Linked DNA regions of Alligator mississippiensis. The protein of the gene in region 2 interacts with the protein of the main gene of each other region in a pairwise test. Links are inferred from orthologs where the notes say so. Each region holds a gene or a part of one and is shown on either strand. Other genes may lie near its edges.

The links. The genes of interacting proteins can lie anywhere in the genome.
Region 1: the proteins of TFIP11 (region 2) and LCA5L interact in binary tests that used the Homo sapiens proteins (3 or more experiments, as listed by UniProt). The two-hybrid records come from large-scale screens. The link is inferred for Alligator mississippiensis from reciprocal best matches to the Homo sapiens genes TFIP11 and LCA5L.

Annotation. Positions count from the first base shown.
Region 1 is NC_081824.1:296,694,460-296,702,106, reverse strand, and holds the start of LCA5L (lebercilin-like protein), read left to right. Parts: upstream 1-4,639; 5' UTR 4,640-4,746; coding exon 4,747-4,987; intron 4,988-7,164; coding exon 7,165-7,647.
Region 2 is NC_081833.1:1,409,885-1,417,111, reverse strand, and holds the start of TFIP11 (tuftelin-interacting protein 11), read right to left. Parts: upstream 3,043-7,227; 5' UTR 2,939-3,042; intron 2,760-2,938; 5' UTR 2,754-2,759; coding exon 2,557-2,753; intron 490-2,556; coding exon 333-489; intron 1-332. Other genes in the region: TPST2 (protein-tyrosine sulfotransferase 2), read right to left, coding at 4,914-4,952, 5,411-5,461, 5,841-6,039, 6,984-7,227. UniProt on the Homo sapiens protein: Involved in pre-mRNA splicing, specifically in spliceosome disassembly during late-stage splicing events. Intron turnover seems to proceed through reactions in two lariat-intron associated complexes termed Intron Large (IL) and Intron Small (IS).

The DNA of each region.
Region 1 (7,647 bases), on a different chromosome or scaffold from region 2:
AGCGAGATTTGGATGATTTTATGCATGAGACCCTAAAACAGAATTTTACTCTGTTCTACATGGCCAGTGAAAATCTCCCCCTACTCTTTGTTAGAGAGGAGCTATGTTTTCTTTGTGAAAATATTCCCTCCCTCTGAAGAGTGCAGGGTACTAGGTTTCCACCTGATGCTGTCTGATGGAGTGGAACTGCTTATTACTTAGCTTTTGGGAAACTTTCAGAAGGGAAATTACTTTACGAATGTAAAATTGTATCTTATCACTAAACTGAAAGGGCCAAATTAGCTTCTGGTATAAATGTGCTCGACACCATAGGTGAATTTGGCCTGAAGAATGCAGGTCTCAAGTCCGGACAGCATTTTTAATACATGTGTAACTGTTTTAAGGAAGACCTCAGAGTCTAATCCTGTAACACATGCAAAAATAATGTTCATTACCACTGACTTTAACAGGGAAATGTTCGCAGTAGTAAGCAATCTGATTAGTAGTAAATTGTTAGCCTAATTTATCCACTGTCCAGTTTTAAAGATGCTGTGGTCTGTTGTGTGAACAATAATTTAGATCCTTAACAGAAGTCCCCCCCCCAAATTTGCGAAAAGCACTGAAATAGCTATTTTAAACCACTCTAAATATTTCTCGGTCCATTCTTCTCTGAGATGGAAGCAAGAGACAGTCAAGAAATGAAAGAAGTCAGATTGCTTTAAATACATTTCAATGGGTAAATTGCTCCAACACTAAATTTGTAACTGAGTCAAACATTGTACTTCATGCTAAACTTTGTTATACAAGCTTTTATCCAGTAGAACATTTTATTTTTTCACTTACCAGTAATTCAACCTGAATAACTTTAGCCATTTTAGAACTATCATTATTATTATTTACTAATTTGTCTTCCTTTCTACAAAATGTTTTGAAGAACTGGAAATCAGAGGCCCACTCCTTTAACTGTTTATTAAAAGGCACAGTGTGTTATAAATACTAAACAGTAGTAAACATGTGCAGGATCCAGCCCTGAAAGCATCTATGGCACCATGCAGGATGCAGATGAAACACGATGAACAATAGCACATTAGTCATTTGTATTATAGAAATAATAGAAAAGTAGGGTTGGAAGGGACTGCCAGAGGTCATCTAGTCCAACCCCCTATCTGATGTAAGATCACCTTATTTGTATCCATGATCTAACCCATTGGTGCTCAACCTTTTTGCCCTGTGGCCTCAGTGGGTCCGTGGGCAGGATTGTGCCAGTGGGCCCAATATGGTGTGCAGCAAGTCCTGATCAGGCTGTGTGGAGGGAGGCAGAGGGCAGCCCATCCCCATCCGGGTATGTAGAAGAAGGGGTTGGCTCAGTCCCGAAATGGCTGAGGGAGCAGGGAATGTGGCCTAACTCTAACCCAGCTACACAGAGCTTGGGAATAGGGCAGTAAAGGGGGGGTGGCAGTATTAATTGCCACTAATCCCCCACTGCCATATTTTCTGACCCGGGAGAGCCCTGTGGGCTGGACACCACAGCTCCACGGGCTGCATTTGGCCTGCAGGCCAGGGATTGAGCACCTCTGGTCTAACCTACTGACAAAACTACATGGTAAGAAGAGCATGACCCTAGAGCGCCTCAGCCAGGCTGGAGGCTCTGCTCAGAAAGTGCCAACTTGGGAGTTTTCACCTTTTTTTCACTATGGAAAAACAACACGGTGAATCTTCTGGTGCAAAGAACTCAGAACTACAAGACAGAACGGTTTAACACGGGGGTGCCCAAACCCCAGCCTGCGGGACAGATCTGGCCCCTGGCGCCAGGCTGTCTAGCCTGTGGGGAACTGCATGAACTGTGGCCTGTGTGCATGCACACAGCGCAGCCTGGGCCCTGATACTGGCACATGGGGCCAAATAGGGGCGGTATTGGGCCCAATCGTGGTACCAGGAGGCCAACCCAGCAAGTGCACCAGCCTGGCCTCATTCTGTTGGCCCAAAACACTGAGCCCCCTCCTTCATTTCATGGCATGGCTTCCTATAGGAAAGCTTATCCTATGAATCATGTTTGTGCATGGTTGTGACATCGTACAGCAGAGGTGGCAGCACCAGGGCAGTGAGACAGGGGCAACTGACATGAAGGGGGGGGGGCAAATAAACTCAAGGGACTGCTGCTGTGATTGCATAAGCACCACTTCTGCTTTGCCCCAGGGCTCCCAGCTGCTGTCCCTGCGCAGCTGCACCCTGCAAGCGCTCCCAAGGCACCCTGAAGTGCCACAGCCCCCTGGCTGAGAAGCAAGAGTCTATGCCTCAAACCCCCATATGGGGGGGGACACCAAGCTGGGACAACAGCTAGGGAGCGGCGCGCACACCGGACACGTTCCGGGTCCCATCTCTGCCACAGCAAGGCGCGCAACCACGTTTCCCTGTTGAGGCGAGTTCCAGCACGCTGGAGGGGGGGGGGGGAAGCATCGCTGCATGCGATTGGCTGACACCCGTGACGTCACCGCCTCCAAGCGAGAGGGGGCGGGGCGGAACAGGAGGGAACCACCCCGGAGTTCCCCCTCCCCACTCGCCATCAGCGCGGGACTACAAGTCCCAGGATACTCCGCGCCAGCCCAGCGGCTGGTTCCCATAGCAAGGGAACAGCGGCGGCGCTCAGACAACGGCCAAAGGCGGCGCGCGGGGTAACCGATGCTTCGAGGCAGGGGGTACGAGGGGACGCCCCATTTGCTGCAGTGGGGAGGGGGAGGGAAAGGGTGATGAGGGGAACTGCCACGAGCCCCCGCCCATACATTCCCGCCCCCCTCTTCCGGGGTCTCTGGGGCTGGAGGGAGCACGTCCGCCATTTTTGTTGCGTCCTCTTTCTGCGCATGCTCACAAAAGCTTCACTGCAGGCCCTGCAGGGTCATAGTTGAATTGGGGGTCCTGCGTGGCTATTGAGGGGGGGGGGGCTGTGCCAGCCCCTGCTGGGGTCCAGGGACGCGGACACGAGCAGGCAAACCGATATCTTTGGGTCAAGTTGATATCTTTTATTTAGACCAACTCAGATAGTCGGAAAATGTCTTCTTCGTAAGCTTTGGAGCACAACCCCACTTTGTCAGGCAGTGTGTGCTGTTGCTTTTGGTATTGTGTGAGGAAGAAAGACTGTTGGGGGAAACACTATTAGGTGAAGGTTGCTGTTTTCTGAAAAACTCCAGAAAGGTCATTTTCTTTGAAAATGGGGGAGGTGGGGGGAAGATGACACTAATGGACAGAAGTTTAGCACTGGAAGGGACCTTGTGAGATCATCGGGTCCAGCCCCCCTGCTCTGGGGAGGAAAGTCTGCTGGGGCCAATAACCGTTGATCCTGGTTTTCCCCTTTTCAAATGAAACAGCTACTTCTGCAAACGTGGGGGAACAAGAGCTTAGGGATCAGTCAAATCCTCATTAATCTGCAAATGTTTTAGTTTGGTGGAATAATTTATCCTCACTGGTTGTGTCTACATGAGGTGCTGACTGCAGTAGCTTGTTGCTGCATAGTTACTCATTACTGCTGCGCAGTAGTGTTGCTGAATGGCTTTTTGGTGACACTGACTTGTACAATAGCTCGTTACGACTGCACTAGCATTGCATGGCATGAAGCGTGACGCAATGCTACTGTGTAGTCATAATGAGCTATTATGCAGTCAGCATCACCAAAAAGCCATTTGGGGATGCAACTGCGCAGCCATTTAGTTCTTACATATGCTAGTATTAAATGACTGCTTAGTAACAACTGTGCGCTCAGAGTCTTGTTCAGATGCTGCCACTATCCCCTCCTTTTCTGTAACGACCCAGTTGATCAAATTTAACAGATACAGATTGGACAAGTGAAAGCCACATCTCTTACCAACGCATTACACTAAAGATGTTCAGGTGCTTAAGTGGCTTTTCAAAAGCAGTCAAGCATATTATGTACTGTTAAATGATTCCTGGCTGGCAATATGACAGCTTTCATCCCAAAAGGAAATATTTTATATGCTTATTAGAATCTCTAATATAGATGCACTTGTATAATAACAGTAACTCTGCACGCAGCCTACTACATAAATACATATGTAAGGCAAAACAGTGTTCAGTTATAATTCATTACTTAGTTCATGTTGGGGATCAAGGATGAAAAAAAGGAAGTAAATTGACATGGATGGAGTCCAGATGGAGTTCTATAACATGGATGGAGCGTTAGGAATGTATATAAAAAGATGCAGAAATGCCCATTAAGAGACCAGTTCCTGGATGACATCTACCTAGGCTGTATAAAACATTTATTTAATTGTATTGTACTAGTTTCAGTGAATTTTTCATCAATGCCCAGGTCAACATAACTACCTCTTCTAAATTCTATTAAGCAGTAAACAAACAACTACACTGATAGTATATTAGCATACAAGGAAACTGCAACTATGGTATTTATTAACATGCATTAAGGGATGTTCATCCACCGAGAACATATACATTCTTAAATAACAAAGATTATATTTAACATCTCTCTAGGGCGCTAAATGTTTGCCTTCTTTCAGATACTGAAACTGGCTATTTTTATTGGATTAAAGAATAAATAATGTGCATTAAAGAGGTTAATAAATGCCATGTTTTTCCCCCCTCAAGTTTTGTGTATAAGTGATCAACATTTTGATTCTGGTAGGTCAATTCCAATGTCTTCTACTGACAACACACTGATGAACTCAGGTGACTGTTTCCTCCGTATGTTAGTGCAAGAAGACACTAATTCAGGAAGCAGCACAAGAAGCAGAGGCACTAATGATTGTATTAGGGAAAGCATCAGAACAGGTTGTTCTGGCAGAATTAATGACTATTGCCAATGCAGCAGAGAATATGGAAGTCAGTCAACATTTTCATGTGAACTATTCTGAGGACTTTTTCTCTGACTGTACAGAATCAGCCAGCAGCAACAGTTCTTTAAAAATGCCAAGAACCAAAGAGAAGAAGCTACAGAAAAAGAAAAAAAACAAATATGGTCGACAAGGTTATCAAATCAAAGGTAACAAGAAAACTGCTTTTTTTTTTTTACCAATAGCCAAATAATATAAGAGTGGAACTATTTTCATTCATTGGCAGTTTTTATGGTGATTAGAGCCTGAAAGGAGCTGGTTTTCTTACCTTGCAAAAATTTTTGAGTTTTCAAAAATAGGAAGAGGAAAGAGGGGATTGATACTTCAAGATAGACTTTAATTCAGTGGTTAAAACTCCTGCATGGGTTGTGGAAGACCTGGGTTCAAGTCCTGACTAAAATCATGGACTTGAAACAGCATCTTACATTCCAGCTGAGTGCCCCAACCGCTACACTCTTTCTGGTTTTGACCAGAAATTCCAGCTTGGGTCTTTATTAATAAACAGACAGCAAAAAACGCATAATACAAAGTTATAAAATGAAAATAATAAATACGTTAATAAAACTCAACAGAGAAGCCATGGAATTAAAAGACACAAGCTGGCTTAACTTGATCAGTTATTTGCTGCTGTGTCCCATCCATAATTTTCATTTAAATGCATTCTACCTGCTAGTTTAATAGGCATGCTTAACTGTATCTATCCCTTATATCCCATGGGGTTTGAGTCACAGAATTTGTCTGCCTATTTTTCTTGCAAATGGCAAGGACATTTTGAATTGTATATATATTATAAGAATAACCATTTAGTGGAGTGCTGCCTGGAATGCTTTAGAACTGTTAAGAAATCGAATGTTTTGATACAAGTGAAGTAAATAGTAAGGCTGTAAATAGGCACAGAATTTGTCCTGGGATCTTACAGACATACAAGTCCACTGTCCCAGACCGAGTCTCTCTGAAAGATAAAAATGTGTTAATGCTTTTTCCAAGGATGTGGCTCTGTGCATCTGTAGGGTAATTCCAGGGAAAAGTGTGCTCTTGTTCTCTACCTACTGGCAGAGGAACAGCAATGCATGTTGGAAGGGCAAGGTATGTAAATGATTGAGCCTCATCTGTTCTGATCTGGGTCAGACAATCAGACTTGCCTCTAATACAGTGGTTCTCAATCTTTTTAGATTCAAGGGACCCCTCCATAACTTTTATGAACGGAGTGGCATCCCCTTTCCAAAACCAATTGATTACAGTGTTTACCCCCTTGCAGAGGCTTCAGACAGTGGGGGCAAGGAAGCCAAGGGAGGGAGAGCCTTAGCCTGCCCTTTTTTTGCTTATCTCCTCACATTTCCCATGGCTCCCTTCAAAGGATCTAGGGAATCCAAAGGTTCCCCAGCATCCTGGTTGAGAATCACTACTCTAGTAAGGCATCTGTTTATAGCCTAAGACTTATAAATCTCTGTCTAGTTCAGTTTTACTTTGTGAAAGGACAACGAAGTAAGCAGTGGTAATTTAGAATGTCAAGTGATCAAGAATATTTAGCAAATGCAGTACGTGGCAAGGAAAGCTATATAACTAATCTGAATGCTTGATGATTGAAAAAACACTATATGTGTATTTGTAGACTTTTATTTATCATTTTTAAAAATGGTTTGAAAGTGCTAGAATTGGTTAGGTGGTAACTAGATGCAGAGTTGTTGAAATACATATTATTGCCATAACTTTATTTTTCTGAGTTTTTGCAGGTACAGTAAATTGACATTTTCTTCCTTCTCTATAATGCATTGAATTTTCATAATCAACTGTTTGATCTAGTTTCACTGGAGTTAATGGGAGTCTTTTCAAAAAGGTCAGATCAGACCTATATATACATCTGATTCTCAGATTAAGGGCACATTGATTCCACTGAATGACTGAGAGAGAAACTTAGTTTCAGTTGGCTTTGGAGATGCTTTTGTAAGGACATCGTACCAGTTGATTCATAGAGTGCTTTTGTTTGCCTCAAAAGAAGCTCTTATATATTCTCATTACTAAAATAAAAGACTATGGCTAAGTAGAACAAAGATGGTCTAACAGAATAAGTAGGTGAGGAAACATTTCGACTTGATATGGACTTGACTTTAGTTGTGGCCAAGTGTAATCAGGAAAAATCCCTGCTCTGGGGGTATCTGGATGAAATAGGTGAATAGAGGAATTGTGGTATGGATTATAGGCAATTTGTCATATACACTACATTTAAAAATCTTGGGATAACCAGTTATAAGAATAGTAAAGTTACGCCTTATGCACCCTTAAATAATATATGTATCACGATTTATCTGTTTTGGTCTGAATGTAGGAAGCAAGAAATTGCCACTTAAGAAGATGCGGCACCAGAACACTTCATTCTTAAGCAATCAGAATACCACAGTCTCTCAGAAAAAAGATGTTCTGGCTCAACGCATATTTTCAGCAAGACTTCACAAAACTAAAGAACTGAAAAATGAACTGTCAGATCTCCAGCATAAACTAGAAGCTTCAAATGTAGAAAATCAGCTTCTGAAACAGCTTCAATATCGGCACTTGAAAGCAATAGGTAAATATGAAAATGCAGAGAATAACTTGCCTAATCTTATAGCAAGACATTATCATGAGGTAAGAAGTCTAAGGGAACTCCTTAGGAAGTCTCAGGAGCAGGAGCGAAAAACATTGAGGAAGCTTAGAAAAGTTGAAGCAGAACTGTTAAGGACTAAAGATGCTTTGCAAACATTGCATAAAATTTCAGAAGACAAGAATCTCGCAGAGAGAGGGGAACTTACTCGCAGATTATCAGTCCTTACAG
Region 2 (7,227 bases):
ATCAACAGAAACTGATGGCTGGCACATTTACAGCTGAAAGGATGGAAACAAAATGCAGCCCCTTAATTTGTTATAACTTCAATCTCCTCTGCAAGAACACTCACAAAGGGGCAAACCTTGCAAGGGCCAGGAAGGCCCATCAACCCATCAAATGCACAAAAGTGAGGGGAAACTGCCTCCACAGCAGAGGATGAAATCACAGACCTGTGGGCAGCATGACAGCATCATTCTTTTTTTCATCTGCTGATTTAATATCCTAACACCTAGATGCTCCTGTGACGGGGGCTACACGAACATCTTTAACAGGGTTGCTCATTTTAAGAATAACTCACCGTTTTTAACTTCTTTGGTACAACCTCCTTGGGCAATTCTTCCTGCTTAATAGGTTTCTCATCATCCTCGTCCGAGTCATCTTCCACCTCCTCCTCTGCTGCAGGCTTTCGCAGCCCGGCGCTGATAAAATTGACAGGGGCTGAGTAGTCTCGAGATCTGTATAAGGAAATCACGTTAAAGAGGCATTTTTAGAACTGCGTGCGTCAGAGCTCTTCCACTGGGGCAGCAGCTGGAACACAGTCAGAGACACCCTCGCAAGCAGTTCCCTCTTAATGTTACGATATGGAGCTACAAAGCCGGTATTTGAAATGCAGGAAGTTTGAATTTATGAAGGAAAATCTGCGTTCTGAAAAGGACCTCGCATTTTTTGTTTTAGCAAACTTCAGCCTTGAAAAACAATCATCTCTATCCCAAACTCTACCTAGGCACTAAGCCAACTGCTGAGGGAAGTGAACACCATGTATGGACAACCCAGGTTATGTAGCTTTTGAAAAACCCTGTATGAGATTCCAATCCCTCCCTTCTCTTACACAAACCACAGCCAGCACGTCGTTTACCACCTCTACGTGCTTGAGAGAGCACCTTTCTGCACTACGCTCTAGGTGTCATGTTGCCAATGGCTCCCTGGTGGTGACACAAGACTTAAGTCGCAGAACCCCCGGGGCTGACGAGAGAACTCTCCCGCGGTTCCTTTCAGGCCAGCAGGGAGAGGATGGAGTTACTTTATTAAGGGAATTATTAACGGAACTGAAAGTATCATCATGTCTCTTTATAAATCCATGGTGCATGTTGAATGCTCTTTATAAGTCCATGCTGCACCTTGAATGCTGCGCCCAGTTCTGGTCCCCACACCACAAAAGGATGCAGAAAAACTAGAAAAGGTCCAGACACAGGCAGCAAGGATGTTGAGAGCTATGGAGGGGCTTCTGTGTAAGGAGATACTAAAGAGGCCAAGCCTGTTCAGTTTAGAAAGAGAAACCCTAAAGGGGAGCACAGGACAAGGGTTTACAACTAAATGCCAAAGTGAAAGCCAATAGGGATTCATAGAATCACAGAAGTCAGGTCGGAAGGGACCTTGTAGATCTTCGAGTCCGACCCCTGCCTGGGCAGGAGGGAAACTGGGCTTAAGTGACCCCAGCCAGGTAGGCATCGAGCTGCTTCTTAAAGCCCCCCAGGGTAGGAGCCAGCACCACTTCCCTTGGAAGTTGGTTCCAGATCCTAGCCACCCTGACTGTGAAGTAGTTCCTACGGATGTCTAATCTGAACCTACTCTCCAACAACTTGTGGCCGTTATTCCTTGTTATCCCGGGGGGGCGCTCGGGGAAACAAGGTCTCCCCCAAACTCTTCTGGTCCCCCCTAGGGAGTTTACAGACGGTCACCAGGTCCCCCCTCAGCCTTCTCTTGTGGAGGCTGAACAGGTTCAGGTCCCATAGCCTCTCATTGTAGGGCCTGCCCTGCTGTCCCCGGATCATGTGGGTGGCCTCCTCTGGACCCTCTCCATGCTGTCCACATCCCTCCTGACGTGCGGCGCCCAGAACTGGACGCAGTACTCCAGCTGCGGCCTGACCAGTGTCGCGCAGAGGGGGAGGGGGATTTATTATCTACTCTCTCTCACGATACAAAAGCTAGGGGTCACAAAATGAAACGAGTAGGCATTAAGTTTAGAAAGAACAAAACAAAATGTTTTCACCCAACATGTCACTGAAGCGTGGAACTTGTCGCCACCAGAAGCGAATTCAAAACGGGCTGGGGGACATTCCTGGAGGAAAGGGGCGTCAGTAGCTGTTGAATATGGGAGTGAGGGATACAACCCCTGAATCAGACCTTCCTAGACCTTAAATGCTGGCGGCTGCAGGGGGGAGAGGAACAGGGAGGGAAAAACCCCTGGTCCTCCCCTGTTCACTCTCCCGTTCAGCGTCTGCTGCCTGACAAGGCCCTGTTTGTTACGCCGTGGGGGACGTGCGGGCTTACACTCACAAGGAAACACTAGAAACCTCCCTTAAAAGCGGGGGCAACTGGAAACATAACCGACTTTGGGGGACAAATAAGCAGCAAGCAAGGAAAGGAGCGCGGTCACGAGCTAACAACGAGGGATCGGGAAGGGAACACCAAGCAGACCACGCCGGCCCCAAACGAGTCGAGCCCGTGGACGGCGGCCAGCGAAGATCTGCTCGGAGACGACGGCTCCGGTCACCCCGCGAGCAGCGAGGAGCCGCCCGTACCGCTTGCCGCCGAAGCTGGGCCGCTCGTCGTCGGAGTCGCGCTCGGCCCAGATGCCGTAGGTGGCCTCCTCCTTGGTCTGCCGGTGCCGCTGGCGGTTGGGGTTGAACTCGTTCTGCAGGTCCCAGTCCGTGATCTCGAAGCTCTCCATCTCCACCTCGCCCTCCTCATCCTGCCCGTACAGGTGCGACATGGACATGGCGGCCTGCCGGGGCGCGCCGGCATCAGAGCTGGTGGCGGGGGGGCCAGAGAGGCAGGTGCAGGCACCCCCACTCCTGCCCCCCCGACCCCTTTTCCTTCCCAGCCCTTCCCCCCACCCCATTCCCCCAGCCCCTCCCCCACTCACCTCTTCTCCCCCAAACCCGCCCCCCCCCCAGCACTCACCGCTCCCCGAACCAGGAAGCGGAGCTACAGCTTGTACCGGAAGCAGGAAGCGGCCGGATGTCCTTCCGGGGTCGCGAGCGCATGCGCCAGCGCCTGCCCGGAAGCCCGCGCCGCGGAGCATAGAGTGAGGGGGTGGGGCAGAGCGGCACGGCCGGCTGTCCGCCTCGGCGGACTTCTCTATGGTTGGGAGGGTGGGGTGGAGGCTGGGAGGTCTGCACCCCCCCCCCCACACACACACACACTTTTTCTCTCTAACTTCACACACACGTGCATTATGTATCTACACACACAGGTAAATGCACATATGTACACCCACCCGGTGTATGTATGCACGCACGATGTATACACTCACACATGAATTAAGCCTACACATGTATACACACTCATTATGAACACACGGACATGACGTGTACACACGCTGCATACATGCACACGCATGTACACACACACTATATGCATATGCACACTATGATTATGCATGCACACACACACCCCTATTGTGTACACACGCACATTATGCATATGCACATATTACATACATGCACACATGACATGCATGCACGCACACTATGATTACGTATGCACACACACATAAACATGTATCGCGTACACATACACATTACGCATGTACCCACACACACTATGCATATGCACACACACGTATCGGGGTGGGCAAAACACGGTCTGCCGGGCCCCTAAATATTGATTTTCTAAATTTTTTATCTTCCCTGGCTGCCTGTCGGTGCAGCCCTCGATGGCTTGCCAAGCCTCAGTAAGCAGCCCTCCGCCCAAAACGACTGCCCGCACACACACACGCACACAGCACAAGCTTTCAGCTGTAGCTCACTTCCCCAGCACTGTGAAGGGGGAGGGAGGGATTCCTCATGCCACCGTTTCTCATTCAAATCGGTATTTAAACACTTGCTGCTGGAGAACTGCACCCCTCGGGTCAGCGACGGCACATCCGCGGGGTTGAAGCACCTGCCCCAGGCTGGCAGGTCTGTCTGCCACCCATGTCAGAGCCCCCAGGCCCTCCCACGCACCCACGGGCCCCGCATCCTTCCCGTGTCCGCAGCCCTTCGTTCCAGCCCGCGAACGCCCTTCCTCGCATCATTAGCGCAAACGATGATGACACGCCCTTTCGTCTGGAAACAGTGTTTAATCACCGCAGGAAATGAACGGAGCGGAGCCAGGAATGAAACAGATGGCCTCATATATTAATTTTTAAATAGATTCTGTAAATTACAAGTGAAGGAACGACAGAAGGCAGGTCTCCGATTGTCACTTGTACGACCAATGCTCTACGAGGTTATCGACACCTATTCCCGGTTTGCAAACAGAAGAACAGAATGACGAGACAGTTTTAAATACAACTTTAAAAAGTCCTCAAGTAACCGAATGGGCGAATCTCTTTCCAACGCGCTCTGAAGTTCCAGCCAGGAAACTCGTCTCCCAGGATTTTCCTCTTTACCACAGAGCATTCAGAGAAGGTAGACAACTGGTATCCGATGTGTGTCATGTTTGGCCTTTGCAAATAAATGCAAATACATTCCTTGTGTAGCAGTCCTATTTTGGCAATATTAGCAAGCAATATGCTTGGATAACAGATTTCCACTTTTGCAACTGCAAACTGTCTTCTCTGCTGGACGCTGAAAGGCCACGTGCAGCCTCCTGAAACAGAAGAGACGCGAAGCGTTAGGGATGAGACGCTGAACATAGTGACCGCGGGGTCCACTCTTCAAACCCACAGCTACTTCAAGCACCTTGTTAGCGAGATCCAAGACCTGGACATCACCTCTCCCTACTTGGTGCTGACCCAAGCCCCATCAATCCCACATGCAAGACGTTTCTAATGTTGCTGAAGTCTCTGAAGGCTGCAGCATGCAGGTGCCCCCAGGGAAGAGATCTTAGTGCATGTTGCACACCGGGAGGAAGCACAATTACACCCGGAGCACAACCCCTTACCTGGAAATCATTAAGTCAGCGAGTGAGGCTCCGACGTGTTCTGAGGCACCTGGAACAACCCAAGACAGACGAGAGTTAGCTCGGCCCCAGACAGCCCCTCTGCACCGACAAAGCGAGACAACCAGGGGATGCCAGTGGTCCACGGGGCAGGAACCAGCACCGCACAGAGATCCCCGTGCCAGCTCGGGTCCTGACCACAGCACGGTCGTGTGGGCACAGCACAGGTTTTGGGACAGCAGGGTGGGGGGGATGAATGCAGACTCGCGAAGGCAAGCCCAGAGCTGCGAGCGAGGGCAGTGCTGGAGGGGTGGCAGCGGGGTTAGCATGCAGGCTGGGCACGGCAAAAGGATTCGGAGGGTTGGGAGGCTGCAATCCGCGTGGCAGAGGGGGAAGAGATGCAAGCAGGATTGACAAGGGGCTTCTCCTAGCAGCTGCCAGCATGGAGCTGCTGCCTGCACGGCGCGCGGCACACCCACCCACAGCGCTCTCGTTGCCGCCGGCTCTTACCTGCAGATGCCCTTTCAGATTAGCCGGCACTTTGAAATCTCCCTTCAGGACCTGCAAGAGAAGCAAAGCCGGAGTGACTCCCCGTGGCCTTGGGCTGGGGGCTACTCACCGCCCCTCTCTGCCTCGGTCACCACCCGGCTCATCCCTGGGCGCCCACGCCAGACACGAGCACCAGCAGTTTAACACGGGGCACCTGGAGTGCGTCCCCGAGGCCAACAGCTGGCGTGGTGGCAGGGCTAGTTCAGCCAAGATGCAGGGTTTGCCCCCAGCTGCCTGGATCCTGGCCAGCCGAGACCCCTTCTCCCCCCAGGGACTTAGGAAAGCGCATTAAAGTCTCAGCCTTTCACCTGGCTCTTGTTGTCTCCAGTCCTTCGTGGCCCCAAGCCCGACCGCAGCCCGCCCCACCCCGCGCAGGGGACCCCGCACTCACCCGGTGCGTGTTGTTGATCACCAGGGGGTCCGGGCTGCCGTAGTTGGGGGGGTTGGCGTAGGGGTCGTAGCCCAACCTGGCCAGCATGGGCGCGATGTGGGCCATGTCCTGCACCACGTCGCCTGGGATGTGCCCGATCCACTTGGACAGCGCCTCCAAGTTCACAGGCTTGATGACCTGGTCCGTGGACCTCTCGATCCTGGGGGAAAAGGTCAGGCACTCACTCACCGGGATGCTGGAGCGGGCTGGGGTCTGTGTCCTGCTAGACTAGTGGGCTCTGCATCCCCTGGGAGGACTTGCTCAAAAACAAGAGACCTGAAGCTTCACGAGAGGCCGTGACGGAGCTCAGGGACATGGATGCATCTCATGGGGGGCTGCCCTGCCCCAGCCCCTAGCCAGGCTTGCCCCGCAGGAGGGCTTTACTACAGACCGGCTACATGGCAGCGCAGCTACAGGCCTGGAGCTGGGCCAGCCCTGGGAGCAGGAGCCACACGTCCCACCCTGCTTGGTGGGACCTCCGATCCCTGCCTAGGGCCCATCGTTCGTGCAACCTTTCAGTGGTTTTCTGTCTCCACCCCGCAGGAGGGATTCAGCACCATGCCCATTGGGACTGAGGACACCACACCCTAAATATCTAACACGCCAAAAACGCTGCTTCAGGCATCACCAGCTTGAGTCGTGGCCCATGCAGCGCCGGGTGGGAGGACCCTGGTTGGGCTAAAAAATGCCAAGCTTGGAAGCACCCCTGCGCAGGCTTCGCTGGGAACAGGTGCAGCCCATGTTGGATGCCCAGAGCCAGAAGGGAACAGGCGCAGAGACCTCCCGGCCAGTCCCCACGGGCTACGGTCAGTGCTGGCTGGAGCAGGTGAGAACTAACAACCCGCAGCGGGAGGGAGCGTTCCAGCGGCTGCAGACAGCAGCTCTCTGGAGCACAGCGAGGGAGTGCACACGTATGCACACACGTGCGTGTGTGTGTGTATGCATGCACTCGGGTGCACAAGATGCTTTATTTCACAATCAGGGGATGATTGAGACGGGCTCCTCCCCTTCCCAGTTGGCTGCAGCCAGGTTGCAACAGCCAGGTCACGGCAGCCCCCTGCTAAGGGTGCAGGCATAACCTCATCTCTAGCTGCAGGGACTCACTTGGACAGGGAGACACCGCCAGGCTTCCCGATCAGGTCCTCGTGGTGCAGCATGGCATCGCTCCAGGCGATGCCCAGGAACTGCATGATGGCCTGCAGGGACTGCTCCGGGTGCAGCACCAGCTGCTCGTAGTAAACGGGCAGGCAGCGGGAGCGCCCGATCTCCTGGCACTGGGAGTACATGACCTCGATGGCCTTGTTCCACTTGGTCAGGCAGTCCCGGTAGCTGCTGAGGTCGAAGCCGG